Linked DNA regions of Tamandua tetradactyla. The protein of the gene in region 1 purifies or fractionates together with the protein of each later gene. This does not show direct contact. Links are inferred from orthologs where the notes say so. Each region holds a gene or a part of one and is shown on either strand. Other genes may lie near its edges.

Region 1 (8,526 bases):
TCATTCACTGGGTACATGGCAGCAATGGGATTGGAACCCATTTCTCTCCGGCCCCGCTGTGTCCCTCCCCCCCCCCCACCCCTTCTCTGACTGAGGCATTTGCCTGCGGGAGGAGGAGGAGGAGATGGTTTGATGGGAATCGGGAGGCTTCATTGAGCTGGGGCTGCTGCAGCAGAGCGGCAGGCGTTTTTCCAGAGCTTTCATTTCCGTCTGCCTCTTCTGAGCAGGTGAAAAACCCCACAGAGGGCCCTTCACTGAGTCCTCCCCGCTTTCCTCCCCCTCCTCGTGCTGCCTCATCCCCCACGCTGGGAGAGGGGAGGTGAGGCATGCAGTGTGGGGGATGCAGGGGAGGGGAATGAGGAGGTAGGGGAGCGTCACTCTGGATCCTTCCTCTCCAGCAACCCCCCCCCCCCCAATCACCACCACCACTTCCCCATCAAAGGCGCTCTAGGAGGAGAGAGCATTCCAGGTGGAAGGAATGGCAAATGCAAAGGCTATGGATTAAGGATGTGGAGGCGGGGAAAGCCTGCAAGCTTGGCTGGAACCAAGGTTTGGGGCCCCCTGGGATTGCTCAGTGGAAAAGAACTTGTGAGAATGAAGAGAGAGTGAGAGAGAGAGAGAGAGAGAGAGAGAGAGAGAGGAGAGAGAGAGAGAGAGAGAGAGAGAGAGAGAGAGAGAGAGAGAGAGAGAGAGAGAGAGAGAGAGAGAGAGAGAGGAGAGAGAGAGGAGAGAGAGAGAGAGAGAGAGAGAGAGAGAGAGAGAGAGAGAGAGAGAGAGAGGAGAGAGAGAGAGAGAGAGAGAGAGAGAGAGAGAGAGAGAGAGGAGAGAGAGGAGAGAGAGAGAGAGAGAGAGAGAGAGAGAGAGAGAGAGAGAGAGAGAGGAGAGAGAGGAGAGAGAGAGAGAGAGAGAGAGAAAGAGAGAGAGAGAGATCTAGTGGTCCCAGCAAGAGCTAAGGATGCAAAGAGAGAGAGGGTGGTGGGCGACAATCATGGGCTGCAAGCACAGTGCACTCTATCCTTTTCCCCTTAGATTGGGGTGTGGGGGCGCAGCATTGAGAGACTTTCTGTACCCATTGTTTGGTTCTTCCCCCTGGAATGCCTCAGCAGGCTGCACTCAGCCAGCTCTGAACTAGGCGCTGGCTCCTGGCTTTCTGCACATCCTCTCATAGTATTTTCTCTCCAACTCTTTGAAATCAGTATTAGTCACTCCATTTTATAGATGGAGAAACTGAGGCTGAACCAGGTTTACACAGGGTGCCAAAGGCAGAGCTGGGACCTGAAGTCGCCTGCTATCTCGCCTAGGTTGCTTTCCTCCGGAAGGGATCGCCATCCCCATAGCAACAATGAGAGGAACTCCAGCGTGGACTGCATTTCATATTTTATGCAGGCCTAATTTCTTCTGCTCTTCACACCGGACCTGTAGGCAGAGCTGTTATAATCCTTTTTTCATAGATAAGGAAACTGAGGCTCAGAGACGCAGTGTGACTTTGCCAAGATAGAGCCATAAGTGGCAAAGTTGGGATTCAGACCCAGTCTGGTACACCAAATGTCCTTTGCTTCCCCTTGCAGAAGCAGAGGGTCTGGTCTCTGCTCTTACCAGCCTCAGGAATAGGGAACAGGCATTTTTAACAGGCATTTTAACAGGTATTAAAAACAGGTTATTTTTTAAATTTAGTGCAAAAGGAACAGGGCTTGGTCTTGGGAAACTGGGGACTTGCCAGGAGCAGGGAACAATTTCACCTCTAACTCCTTGGATAGAAGAGCAGCAGCAAGTCCTTTCAAGTTTCCTGGTTGGGTTTGAATCCCAACTGTACTTATTCCTGACTGGTTGACTTTAGGCAAGTCACTTAACCTCTCTGTGCCTCTTTTACCTCATCTATAAAATGGGGGATAAGTACAACAAGACAACTTACAGGAAGGCTGTGGGGATTAAATGAATTAAAACATGTAAAGCACTCAGCACACGCCTGCTCCATAATAAATGCTCAATAAATGTTAGTGCCTGTTATTACTATTGATATGCGCTCATCCCTTGAAAACAACTTGTCTATCACCATTGCCTCAAAGGAGAAACTGAGACTCCTGTTGTCAGTCAACCTTCAAAGAAAGCCCGAGATCTTTATTTCCAGGGCAGGTAGTAATTTGATATTAACAATAATAATCATGGGTGGGCCACAGTGGCTCAGCAGAAAAGAATGCTCGCCTGCCATGCCAGAGGACCTGGGTTCGATTCCGGGTGCCTGCCCATGTGAAAAAAAACAACAACAAAAAAACAATAATAATCATTATTAGAGTTAATAGGAGCTTCACATTTATTATATCACTTAATTCTCACAGTTTTGGGAAACAGAAACAATTATTTTTTTATTTTTATTTTTTACATGGGCAGGCACCGGGAATTGAACCCGGGTCCTCGGGCTTGGCAGGCAAGCATTCTTACCTGCTGAGCCACCGTGGCCCGCCCGAAACAGAAACAATTATGATCCCCATTTTATGCATAAGTAAAACGGAGGCTCAAAGAGGCTAAGTCACCTGTCCGAGGTCACACAGCTAGGAAGTAGTGTATCCGGGATTTGAACTGAGGCTTGTCTGGCTCCACAGTCTCTTAAGACAATTAGAGTCAGATGACAACTCATCCAGTGCATAGCTGCCCCACACAGCTTTCTCCCAAATGTATCTGCTGGATCTGCTGCCTCAGGCTCACCTCCCTCCATGCCAGAAAAATTGAGCACTGTTTATGGGCCGGGATGCTTTATACACCTTTCTGCATTCAATCGTTATCCTCACCTTATGACCCGCTATCATTATCTGCATTTCTCAGAAGAGTAGCTGAGGCACAGAAAAATGTGATGATTGCTTAAGGCAACACACTCCTAGGTGGCAGAGTCGAAATTCAGCTCCATGCAGATTTGCCTCAAAGCTGATATTCTTTCAGGGACTCTAAAAGAAGTGCAGAGATCCTTGGAGAATAGCCCAATTTTCAAGGCCAGGTACCCTCATTCTTCAACAATTTGGTGTCCCACAAGGTCTTGTGAGCCCTGCCCCTCCCCACTGCCACCAAGTCCATTGGCCTAGATGCCTTTTCACGTCTAGGCCTGTAACTTCTCCCCACCTGTCTTGTTAACCCCCACTTATCCATTTCACATTAGACATCTCTTCCCAGGGAAGTCTCCTGCCCCATCTCTAGAAGTTCACTTTCATAAGCACATTGTAGTTTGCCTTCTTGCTCCTTATCACGGTTTCTAACTGTATTTTGATTTGTGTGATCATTTGTTCAAAGACTTTCTTCTTCACAAGACTCTAAGCGACATGAGGGTCCAAATCTGTTTTATTCACCATCGTGGCTGCAGCACTGGCAGGCTGCCCTGCATGTTGTTGGTGCTTAATAATTTATTGAACAAATGCATCCACGAATGAATATATAACTACGGGGCACTTGACACACACGGCTCATTGATTTCACAGTTAACTCATTTAACCTCACAAGTGCCCTGTTATCCCCACCTTTGAGAAAAAGTTGATGAAGGTCAGTACTGCTTTCTGCAGTAGAACTTGGATTCAATCTCAAGTCAGTCTGACCTCAAAGCCACTGCATACTGCATAGCACCTGCTGTCACCTAGCACCAAACGCCACAGTTAGGATTTAAATAGTCACAGGTAGTCAAACCACACATCCCAGTTGAGCCTGGAGGTCCACAGCACTGGGGCCCTGTCGACACCACACCCTTTTGGCCAGATTTGTCCTTCCAAAGTTTTAGGCTGCTCCCCTTCTCACTCCCTTCTTGGCTTTCTTCATTTTTAGAAAGGGAAAGGGACTAGGGATTACAGCCAAGACAGCCCTTCTGGGAAAAACAATCCTGTGGTGAAAAAAGGCCTGTTGTGCGAGCAGAGAGACCTGGATTTAAGTCTTGGCATGAAGGCTGCCTTGCTGAGGGCACACAATGGGGTCACTGCCCCTCTCAGAGTTTCTGTGTCATTTGGGATACTGCCGGGGCTGCTGAGCGGCCAGTAGTCTTTTACTCTTGATTCCTAGGGTCCCCAATTCTGAAGGTCACTTTTCCCCACAAATCTTGGTGACTGACAATAGCTAGGGCCCAAATCTATGGTGACCAAAGAGGTGTGGGAAATTCTGCCCTCTTTCCCCAAGACCCTTTCTGGAAGGCTAGGGGATGGGGGAGGGAAGTCTTTTTCAGGTGACACGGAGCCTGGGAGAAAAAAAGGAATGGAAGATTAAAGACAAAGAGTTGAGTCTCACTCAGGGCTGTTTCCAATTCCCTAGGGGACCCTTGGCATGTCAAAATATCCCCAGACTAGGTTTTCTCTTCTACAAAAACGAGGACAATACTTGCCCTACACAGGGTAGCTCTGGAGAACCAACGCAGATATCTTTGCTAACTTGTGAATTTGTCACTTCGTTATCCAGCTGCAGCCTTTTATAATCAATGGACATACACACCCATTTATGCATAAATCCTCAACCATCCCAGGGAGTGAGGCAGGCGTGATTGTTCCTATTTTGCAGAAGGACAAACTGAGACCATGAAGTTCAGGGACTTGTCGGTGGTCACAGAGTGAAGTGGCGACTGAATTGGGTCCAATTCACCTGACCCAATACAAAGGGCCTTTCAGAACCAGCTCCCAGTCCCAGGGGCCCTTGCCTCTCCTACGGCGAAACCTTCCATCGCGGGGTAGAGCCAGTGACTCAACCTCATCCCCACCCTACTTTCGGCCGAGTCTGGACCCGGAGGAAAGGGACAAAACTATCTGCAACTTGAGGGGGAGTACATAGAAAGTTCACGGACTTGGTCCCTTCCTTCCACCCAAAATACTGGTCCTTTAAGCTCTACCAAGAAGAATTAGAATTTCTATACACTTTGTATGAGTTTTTATACGTTCTTACATGGAATTCTCCTACCCTGTATTTAGGAGTTGATTTACTTTAATCTATACTCCCACTTCACTTGGTTTGCTCCCTGCTGTTTACTCCGTTTGCGGAAGTCGCTCGGGTGGAGCTCCCGGGACTCTACCCTTGGGTGCGTCTTTTGCGTATTTATTTAACTGACATTCCACTTAAGCCAATGGACTGCTCCGAAGCCCCAGGAGGGCGGGGCAGAGAACCAATCAGGGCTGTCGGCGGGGTGTGGCTGCGTCCTAGGGCGGGGAATCGCGTAATGGCGGACGCAGGCCGGGCGAGCGCGGCTGGGGGCGTTTCGCGCTGAGGGGGGTCCGGCTGTGTGGCAGGCTGTGAGACGGCCGGCTGAAGCAGACCCTGTGCGGAGACAGGGTGGCTGGCCGACGTTTCTGTCGCTGAGGGCGCCCGCGCGAGGCCAGGTGAGCAACAAGTCCCTTCGGGCGGGCGCCACCATTCCGCGGCACGGCACCCGGCCCATCCTCCGCTCCCGGGAGCGCAGGGTCCGGGAGGAGTGGGTGCCGAGCCTCCTGCTGCGGCCTGGAAGAAACCGGGCGAGCCATCTGCGCCGGGTGACTTCTTACTACACATTCCTCACTTCCAGGGGCCGGAAACTCGGGGTTCCCTTAGGAAACTTGGAGGGGCCCCGGGTCTGTAAGCCTGCGAAAATGCCTGAGCTGGCTCTGCCACTTTCTGTGTGACCTTGGACAAGTCACTTCCTTCTCTGAGTCTACTTTCTCCATTTGCAAGACGGAGGCTTTGTAGGCAGACAGATATACATGGATGTTGTCTGAGATATTGAGCAAGTTCTTCCCCAGGCTGAGCCTACATTTCCATTTCAGGACCAAGAAATATTTCTGGAGCTCCCAGCCTGCTAAGTTGCTGAGTGGTCGAGAGGACATTAAGGTGTGTGTGTGTGTGTGTCTGTGTGTCTGTGTGTCTGTGTGTGTGTGTGTAGGATGGATTGCAGAGTAAAAGAGTGGGCTCAAGCGGTTCCCCCAGCAATGCTCTAGATGCCACACAGAGACCATGATGGAGTGGGACCAGATAGTCTTGGCCCTCCAGAAATCGTACAGCCTTTGAAATGGGGAATTTTTATACAATTGGGTATAGAATCAGAGAAGAGGAAGAGGTTCTTGGACCCTCTTGGAGCTGCGATTTGATCTTATGGCCTAGAAGAAGTTAGGAGGAGGAGAGAGAAGAACATTTATGCTGCTCCTCTTACTATGTGTATGTATTATTTAATTTTTACAGTAACCCTTGAGAATTTACACACGAGGAAACAAAATTTCCGAGAAATTAAGTAACTTACTCAAGGTCACACAGTAAGGTGCAGAGCTTACCAGTGTTAAAGTGTTTCCTCTGAATCACTGGCCAAGGGTAGTCACTGCCCATTTAAAAGATAGTAGTGGGAAAGTTTGCTTTCTCACAGAGGGGGAGGGGTCTGGCCCTGGTGCTTGATTTGACTCCTGGCCTGGAGATTGGCTGGGTGGTGATTCCTAGATGGTTTATTAAAAGTCCGTCCCCTTTCTTCAGTTGTGAAAAGAAAAGGACCATTTCTAAGTTGTATAAGTCACTTTAAAGTGTATCAAAACTCAGAGGGCTCAGTTTGAAACCTGGCCTTGTGGCCTGTAGAAGAAAGTTCACTGGCACTTCATGTACGAACCAAATCCTTTATTCGGGTTGTGCCAGCCCAGTAACTTCCTTTCCTCCTTAAGAAGGCTACATTTTCTTGGGATGGGAGACTTTTCCTCTTTTCCTATTTGTTAGTTCGAATTTCTTTAGATTTGAGGGATGAAAGATTCAATACCCTGCCTCTGATTGAGTATAATGTTTCTTTGTTTTACCTGACTTGTAGGTGAGCAAAGATTGTGAACCTGTGGGAAGTGAGGAGGTGGGGGTAGTTGAGTACCATAAATTGCAGCGTTTAATTTTTACAAACCTCAGAGCTTTTGGTTAATCAAAATGATAGGACCCGCAGTGGGTATTGTTCTCGTATGTCAATGGTGGGGAAGAAAATTGGAAGAGGAAGTTGCTGAGAAAAAGGGCGTTTCTTAGCAGTGAAGCCAATATGTATTTCTTTGTTTGAAATTCTAAAACCAGAAAAGCAGCAACTAAAGGAAGGAAAGAACTATGAAACTTCTCTTCCCCTTCAAATATCTTGACGCGCTGCTTCTGTCAGAGGCTCTGCTTTCACAGAAAAAGTCCATTGTAATTTGTCAACTTTCAGAAATTGAACTCTAGAATGAAATGATTTTAAATCTTAAACCTTCCAAGATAATTTATAAATAAATCAGAACATTTTAATGAGTAAGTTAGTTATTGTAGATGATCCTTTTACTCAGCATAATTACCAGTTCAATCTTTGGCTGTGTTTTTACTGTGATTTAGTCAGATTTCAACCTAAGAGGAAATGATCTAGATATTATATAATGCACATGTTGCCATCACTTGGAAAACAACATAATGGTGTGTTTGGTTTTCGTCATTTATTAAAAGTCCTTTTAATGCTTCATTTTCCAGGGTTGTGTGTGTACAGTAGTTAAGGCCTTGAATTTATTGCATGTAAAGATCTAGGTTCATCCTCAGTATTTGTCATGGTCAGGTTCGTGTGTCAACTTGGCAGCTATACACATCACTTTAAACCAAGTTTAATCTTTAAATAGAAAACTCAGGCTACTCTTTGCTTTTCTCGGATACCTCTACTGTAGAGTGATGTGAACTAGTATTGTTGGAGGATGAAGGATTGTTTCTTCTCTTTAGAGGAAGCCCCATGACAGCATGAACTTGAGGGATTCTTTCCTTAATTCTGGGCCTTAATTCATCTTCCCTCTTGGAGTGACTCCATAGTCCCAGAGAATGGTTCCTTTAAACTGTGTGGGAGGTAGAAGGAGTGTAGAACTGTGTATCAGGAGTTACTGGTGGAGTTGATCTATAGTTGGACTAGGAAATTATTACTATCCAAATTGCCCCAGTTTCTTCTCTTTAACTTCATAAGCCCTGATAATATTGCAAAAGGATTAAATTTAGTTAACTAGAATCCTATTCCAATTTACCCTGGTGTGGCTGGGTAAGCTCTTGAGGACAGGAAGAGTATCTTATATTTCTTTTGTATTCCTTAATGCCCAAAGGCCAGAGCATGAAATTTGTCTTGCATCAGAATTACTTACAGAGCTTTTAAAAAATATACCTATCTGGCCTAGGACCTCTGATATCAGCAATACACAGTCCAGTTGAGAACAATTGACATAAGCACAGTGTAGGTGTTCAGTAAATATTTGTTTAATTTGCCATTGGTCTTGGCATGGGTTGGGTAGGGTGGGAGTTTACCCAGATTTTTCATAAAGTAAAATAGCTTTCTAAGATAACAGCACACATCTAACGGTTGGCAGATCTGGACCCATGGTTGGTGTAGTTCATTGCCGGATATTCTGTCAACATTACCATTCTCAGGCAGGATTGAATGTAGTCTATCAAAAGGCAACTAGAAGTTTTGTTTTCTCCTTGAGTGGTGGCCTTCCTAAGATAATTAGGTTAGCAGTTGTGAAATTGGGGATAAGTAGAAATTCAAGGATTCTTGGTGATTTGTGGGGGGGAGGGAAGTGGGCCAGTGGGCAT
Region 2 (7,379 bases), on another chromosome or scaffold:
ACTTGTTAGAAATCTCCAATGAAATGAAAACACTTCTCCATCTGATCACAAAATGTCAATCACTCATCTAAAAATCTCGGAGCCGATTTTTCTTCCTTATAAAACAAGGGACATCTATCCTGTACAATTTTCAGTTAGATCTCAAAATCACAAACTATAGATTTAGTGGTGTGATCTGACAGGAAGATGGATGCCAAAGATAAACGTATATGAACTAGAACTTTACTAATATAATTCTGAACTCAGAAATGAAGTTATTACATTATTTAGGATCTAAATTTGGGGACTGAAATCCTAGATCACTTTCAAATTTGGAAAAACAGTCTAGCTTATTTTAGATGGCTTACTAATTGAAATGATATATCTTGTTTGGATATTCTGTATGTATCAGAAATCAACTCCTCCCAGATAAAAAAGTCTTTAAGTTCTGCCTTTTAAAACAAAGTTAAATATATCAGTGATTTTTCCATGTACTTCCACTGCCTCTCTAGATTAAAGAAGAGTCTCAAAGCTATGATCCTGTCATCGTTTCATTCTTTCCCTAGCACGGATATTTTGGCTTCTCTTATCTAGCCCTTCCTCTAAGGGAATGCTATGAATAAAGAATGTGGTGAAGAACCCCCAACAATATTTCATCTCTCTAGGAAAGCAGGAGAAACTAGTGATGAGAACCAACATTCAAACTGTCGCCACAGAATGCAAACAGACCAGTATTTCTGAAATGTGTCCAGTTTATTAAAACCAATTACCTTAATCTCTTTGAACTTGGGTTTCCTGACTCCAAATCCACTCACTTTCTCCATTAAACCATACAACCTTATTATATTCCTCAAAACATTTCAGGATACATGAGGGCTATGCTTTTTTGACCACCATTTCCTACTCTCTATAACAACCTGTATGTGTGTACATCTAGCCCTGACATATACATCTATACTATACTACTGTCTTCTTTCATAAGGATAATCAATACCTTCATTCCCATTCCCTAATGAGTGAGGAAATCCACCATACTAAGACAAGCCTCTTCCTGGCAACGTGGGACAGAAATCCTAGAATGAGTTGACACTCAGCATCAGGGGACTGAGAAAACCTTCTCGACCAAAAGCGGGAAGAGTGAAATGAGACAAAATAAAGTGTCAATGGCTGAGAGATTCCAAACAGAGTCGAGAGGTTATCCTGGAGGTTATTCTCACACATTAAATAGATATCACCTTGTTATTCAAGATGTAATGGAGAGGCTGGAGGGAACTGCCTGAAAATGTAGAGCTGTGTTCCAGTAGCCATGTTTCTTGAAGATGACTGTATAATGATACAGCTTTCACAATGTGACTGTGTGATTGTGAAAACCTTGTGTTTGATGCTCCTTTTATCTACCTTATCAACAGACGAATAGAACATATGGAATAAAGATGAATAAGAGGGGGAACAAATGTTAAATTTAGATTGAAATGCTGGTGATCGGTGAGGGGAGGGGTGGGGGGTATGGTATGTATGAATTTTTTTCTGTTTTCTTTTTATTTCTTTTTCTGAATAGATGCAAATGTTCTAAGAAATGATCATGATGATTATGCAACTATGTGATGATATTGTGAATTACTGATTATATATGTAGAACAATGATCAAAAGTTAAGAATGTTTGCGTTTGTTTGGTGTTTAAAAAAAAATTCCGAAAAATAAAAAGATTTTAGTCCTGCAGATGAGTAAAAAATATGGATTAAAAATAAATATATAATAGGGGGAACAAACATTAAAATAAATTGGGTAGAAGGAAATACTAGTGGTCAATGAGAGGAAGGGATATGTATGTATGAATTTTTTCTTTTTATTTCTTTTTCTGGAGTGATGTAAATGTTCTGAGAAATGATCATGGTGATGAATATACAACTATGTGACGATATTGTGAGCCACTGATTGCACACCAAGTATGGAATGTTCATACATTAAGAATATTCGTGTTGTATATTGATTGGTTTTATTAATAAAAAATTTTTTTAAAAGATTATAGTCCTGTACATCTTGCACCTAATCATTTTAACAAAAAAACACAGAGCTCTGCTTTGTTTGAAGTTGTCATCACTTCATCTCGAAAATTAGAAATTACTTGGCAGGAAATTATTCTATGTCCCCCATAGTGTGCTCCCCCCACGCCCCCCCAGTGCCTGAGAGAATGCCTGGTACTGAGACTTAATTCCTCTTTTTGATGCTTTCTGACAACACTCTTGCTCTGTCACATTTATACTCTTTAGGACTCATCGGCCATCTAGCTAGAAAATAATTCATTAAAAAAAATTATACATCACTTTTCCATATTTAATCTTAATTGTTTAATGTTGAATTAATGTAACCAAAGCATACTTGGAGAACATGGAGTAGAATTTTGTACAGGCTTGCTCTCAAGAAGGGTATGGAATAGTGCAGAAAATTTTTACGACTGTCACAAGCACGATATACTAAAGAAAGATTCTGGCAAAGTTATCTCTATGCTCAAGTCTCCCGCCCTGTGTTAGCTGTGTGGAACCGGCTAGAAGCATAAAAAACACCCGCTTACAGCTATATGCTATATACCAGCAATACAGAGATTTCCACGGTCTTATAATGCTCTGGACTCTACCTATCTCTCTAACCTCAATTCCTACCGCTTTCAGCAAGCCCACGGTAATCAGGAAGGAAGGAACCGCGAGAGCAGTGGCTGAAGGGACGACGGAAAAAAATGCGGAAACAGCACGTAGCACGCAAAGCTTCGTCTTGACTCGAACGACATGGCGACATGTCCGCTCAAAAATCAAAACAGTCTTTAAGCAAGGGAGTGACAGTCGTTAAGAGTGAAAAGCAGGAACCGGGATGAAAGCGGGGCGCAAAAGAGGCAGAAGAAAAGCCGCAGAGAACGGATAGGGCCGCTTGAGATCGGACTGAGAAAAGGAAGGCCTTGGTGGATAAGGACTTGGTGGATCCAGCGTGGCCCATGAGCCCAGCCTGGGACAGGAAAACCCCACCGAAACTGTCTAAAGGAGCCTAGGGATCAGGGAGGGAGAAGTGCGGCCCGAAGGAGGATGCGAAAAAGAGCCAGAGCCGAGAGCTCCCGGCGTGCCCTATCAAAGCTTCTCCTCAGCGTCCCCGCCAAACCGCTTCGGAGGTCTCCCTACTCCCCCGGATCGCCCACTTACCGAACGAATTGAGAAAGTCCGCGATTTTCTTGATGCTGCTGGTGATGACCTCAATGTACTCCCGGTTTGCCCAATCCTGGTGAATCTCGCGCTGCACCGGATCCTCCTGGCCCGCCATGGCGGCCGCTGAAGGGAGAATAACTGCGCAGGCGCACCGTCCCTACAGGCCGCCAGTGCGCCTGCGCTGCCAATCAAACCCGCTGCCTTGACTCCCACGGACTCCGCGAGCACTGTGGTGCGTCTGCGCAGTGTTAAGTCCTCGGCTGCGTTCTTGCTCTTCTCCCACGCTCGGGAGAACAGATGCGGCGACTCAGGCCGGGAGAGTGGAATACGCACGTGTCAAAGCTACCCTGTAACCCGCCGTTGTGGTCGTTAGAAGGCGCTTGGGCCAGTGTCACCAGCTCTTTCATCTGCTCCAAACTAAGGAGGCGCAGTATGTGTCAGCAGTGAGGTGGGCACAGCAGTTTAAACCACACTACATACAAGTCATTTAAAAAACGTTTCCAACAACGCAACGTGACATCCCTCCTTGTATATATCAAATTAACAAAACGTGTTTTTAAAGTTAAATAACTAGTGATGGCAAGGCTGAGGTGAAATTGGTAGGATCATAAATAGTTGATCACATTGTCCCTTGAGAAGGAAATTTGATAACTGCCGTTTGACCTAATATCCTTAAGAAAATCATTGAAAAGGAAAAAAAAAGAAACCACAAAATAACTTAAAGCTTAAAGGTGCTCTTTGAAGAATTATCAAAACAAAATAAATCTCCAGCAATAGGGAATAACTAAGCAAAGGTATAGCCACTTAAGGCAACACCATGCAGTCATTTAAAAAGTATGGTAATGTGAAAACATGATACATTAAAGGGAAAAACAAAATACAAAATTTTCTTTCATTGCTGCTTGAGGACAAGAAAGATATACCAAAATGTCAATATCTGATTTGTTAAAATAATGGAATTGCAAACTTTTTGTTTCAAGGAATATTTACAATCTGATTTGTGCTGTAAAAGCCTTTTATTAAAAAGTGGCTGAAGAGTCATTTCTTCTAGTAGTAGCTGAGAAGAAACCATTACTAACAGTCCTTTACTTGGGTGGAAGATTTTACAACCTATAAAGACACTTTTATATAGCATCCTCACAAACCCTTTGAGAAGTCAGGAAGAGGTTATGTTATCATCATTTATTTATATAATTATTTTCTGGAGGACACATTCATTTTCAAAGCTAAATCCAAGACAGGTTATAAGGCACACCCAGAGAAAATAGTATTGTTATTTCCCGAAGAGAGGTTCTATACCTTGAAATAATTTTTTTCAGGGTATTAGTAAGAAGGGCTATTCATGCAGAACAATAATAAAAATAAATAACAATAATAAGCAAAGGCCAAAATTTCAGGCACATGAAATATGAACATATTGTCTTCACATTTATTTCAAGTTGACTTGATTAAGTAGATACATCCAGGTATATCTAGCCACATTAAGCAGTGTAATTTTTCAGAGAATCTCTGATATACTTAGAGAGAAGGGTAACTTCAGGCCAAAACATTTTATTTCTTCGGGAAATAACAAGTTTAGTTCATGGGAAGATGGTTGAAATTTTGCTTCATGGCTTGTGTTTTCTGGAAAACGAAGAAATAAAGCATGAAACCTAAGAATCCTTTCCTCCTTCTCCTGGCTCTTCTCCTCTCACCTTCCTCTTTTTTTTTCCCCCTTCTACTCCCTCCTTGGTATTTTCCTCAATCTCTTTTGTCAATGTCTCTCCCTCTTCTTCTTTTGGAATTTGAAGAGGTTGCCCCCATCTTCATCGCCCTCGTTTTGTGTCTTATTTTCTTCACATTCTTCATCCTTCCTCTGATCCCTCTGTGGTGCTCTGCTGCTACATCACCACTGGGAAGGGAAGATGCTTCTTTGAGTGATTTCGCTGCCTTTATCATATAAATTGAGATTGATCTGAGAATTTTTGTGAGGGTAATAGTTTACGTTTCAAAATCTTTTAACCATTCAGGTATGTGTATCTTCATCCCTCATCTGATGTTTACAACAACCCAGACTCCATTATCTTTTCACTGTACCACACTGAAAATAGGCTCAAGTCTATCCGAGCTCTTCCACATATTCACACAAATCATTTCTAAAGTAATTGATATTGACAACTAAGGAGCCCTAGGCACCCATGAAGGCCCCCTTCCAATCAAGACCCCGCTTTTCCAACTGATGCTGTTGAAGTAGTATATGGCTCACATGCCTCAGAAATCAGACAGACCTTTTCCTTTAAAAGGAAGGCCATTTCGGTTTCAAATCTCAAATCTAGAGATGAGTCTTTTTACCCCCCTGAGCTTTCGCTCCTTCAAGTGTATTACTAAAATAACAACCTCAGTGGGTTGGGACTGTTGGAAGGATTATGCAAGCAAGGCTAAAGTAAAAACTAAGAACAGAGCCTAACGAAGCAAAGGACTCAAGATAAGTTAACATTTTCTTCTTATGCAGAAAGTAGCAATAAAATACACCTATAGCTGTCCAGCAATTTCTAACCATACAGTGTTGTTTTGGAGACTTTCATTAAAAAAAAAGGCAATAAAAACAACTGTTTTGCCTGCTTTTTAAATATCAGGTATCTCTCTTATTCAAGGGGAAAATTAAAAAAAAAATTACTGGGGGAAAAAGTTTTGTAATTAAAAAATCTTTTGCATCTCTTCCAAATCTCATCATTCTCCTTCCCTCTTTCCATTTTTTGTCTTCCCTCTAACCTCTTTCCACTTACCTCTCCTGCAGGGCATGCAAACATGCACAGTGAGCATCTGACAATGCTTCACAAGCTCCTTAAACCTATCTGCTTCCTGGCCAGGATCTATCCTTCAGCTTCACTTAAAGAACCAGAGAAGGAGACAGCCCTTATTTTTGCTGCCTTCTACAGCTTGCAGAGTACAAGGCAATTTCTGGGTGTATAATGGAAGAGCAGGTAGGTAGTTAATTTCTCTCACAAATACTTCATACTGCCAGGCACTGGGACTCTGAAGGTGAACTGGTTAGATGTCCCTTCTTTCTTTGGTGACCCAGGATAATTGTTTGAGATGATGTTTTACAAAGTTGTCAAATCACTCTTTTACTGTGGTGAAAGTGTCATCTTTTACCATTGTAAGGATGGGACAGGATCATACTTTTCGAGATGTAATAGAAGGTAGTGAAAGGTTTTTGGTCAGAAAGTGAAGGAAAGACGTGTTATCATCTATCTTCTTGCTTTTGATGGCCTGGCGTTTATGAAGTTCTGTCTCCTTGTACTGGGATCTTTCCAATACAGCAACATACAGCTTCAGAGCCTAGATAAACTACCTGAACATCCACCGAACAGGGTGTAATGTAAATCCGGGGCTTTAATTCTGGTTCCTGACCTCTCAAGCGTGCCAGTCTTCTGTTCCATGTGTTGGAATGGATGCTGAGATTGAGACTTGATCAAAGGCGCACAGGCAGGGAGGGGTGGTGGGGAGAATGGGGAATCGAACCCGCGCTCCTCAAGGCTCAGTCCCCGGCCAAGGGTTCCCAGGAGATGGGAGTGGGGAGATCAGCCCCTAAGGCCGTCAGCTGGCGCGCCTCGAGCCCTAACCTCCCCCCCCCCCCCCCCCCCCCCCCGACCCCCACGCCGCGGCTCAAGATCCCGGGTCACAAAGGCGGTTGCCAGGCACCCGGTGGAGAAAAGATGCGGCCCGGGACCGGCGACCGCCACTCTGGAGCGTGGGCCCACGGAGTTCAGGAGGTGAGCCCCCGGCCCTGATGGTGGCACCGGGCTCGGGCTCCCACCACCACCTCCGTCTTGGCCAGAGCCGTGTGGCCCCCGCCCCCCGGTAGGGATCCCCGGGAAACAAGCCCCTTCTCCGGGCTGGGAGGGGGTGCCGCCTCCACTCCCGGCAGCTCCGACCTCTCCAGATCTCCGTTCACAGTTCACGAGGACCTCAGCTGCACTTTGGCGCTGTCCTTCCCTTTCCCAGGTGGGGAAATCAAGGGATGGAATTCCTTGAACGGGAGGAGTGGTAGGAAGGGGAAGCCTGTTTGGCCAGAAAGAGGCATCTCTTCTCTGGGAGACATTAGAGCAACTTGAAAAGACTTCCTAGGTTCACCACCTCCCACCCCCCGAAGTAGATGATGGGACTTCCGAATGGTGGGGGTGGGGATGAACTGGTAGAAAGGCCCTGGAGTCAGGAGCCCTTCA

What was found. The genes of interacting proteins can lie anywhere in the genome.
Region 2: the proteins of WASF2 (region 1) and BRK1 purify together in Homo sapiens (co-immunoprecipitation; 3 studies listed by BioGRID and IntAct, with this or other methods). This does not show direct contact. The link is inferred for Tamandua tetradactyla from reciprocal best matches to the Homo sapiens genes WASF2 and BRK1.

What each region holds. Positions count from the first base shown.
Region 1 is NC_135328.1:198,768,869-198,777,394, forward strand, and holds the start of WASF2 (actin-binding protein WASF2), read left to right. Parts: upstream 1-5,161; 5' UTR 5,162-5,330; intron 5,331-8,526. UniProt on the Homo sapiens protein: Downstream effector molecule involved in the transmission of signals from tyrosine kinase receptors and small GTPases to the actin cytoskeleton. Promotes formation of actin filaments. Part of the WAVE complex that regulates lamellipodia formation.
Region 2 is NC_135335.1:39,042,726-39,050,104, forward strand, and holds the start of BRK1 (protein BRICK1), read right to left. Parts: upstream 3,331-7,379; 5' UTR 3,287-3,330; coding exon 3,169-3,286; intron 1-3,168. UniProt on the Homo sapiens protein: Involved in regulation of actin and microtubule organization. Part of a WAVE complex that activates the Arp2/3 complex. As component of the WAVE1 complex, required for BDNF-NTRK2 endocytic trafficking and signaling from early endosomes.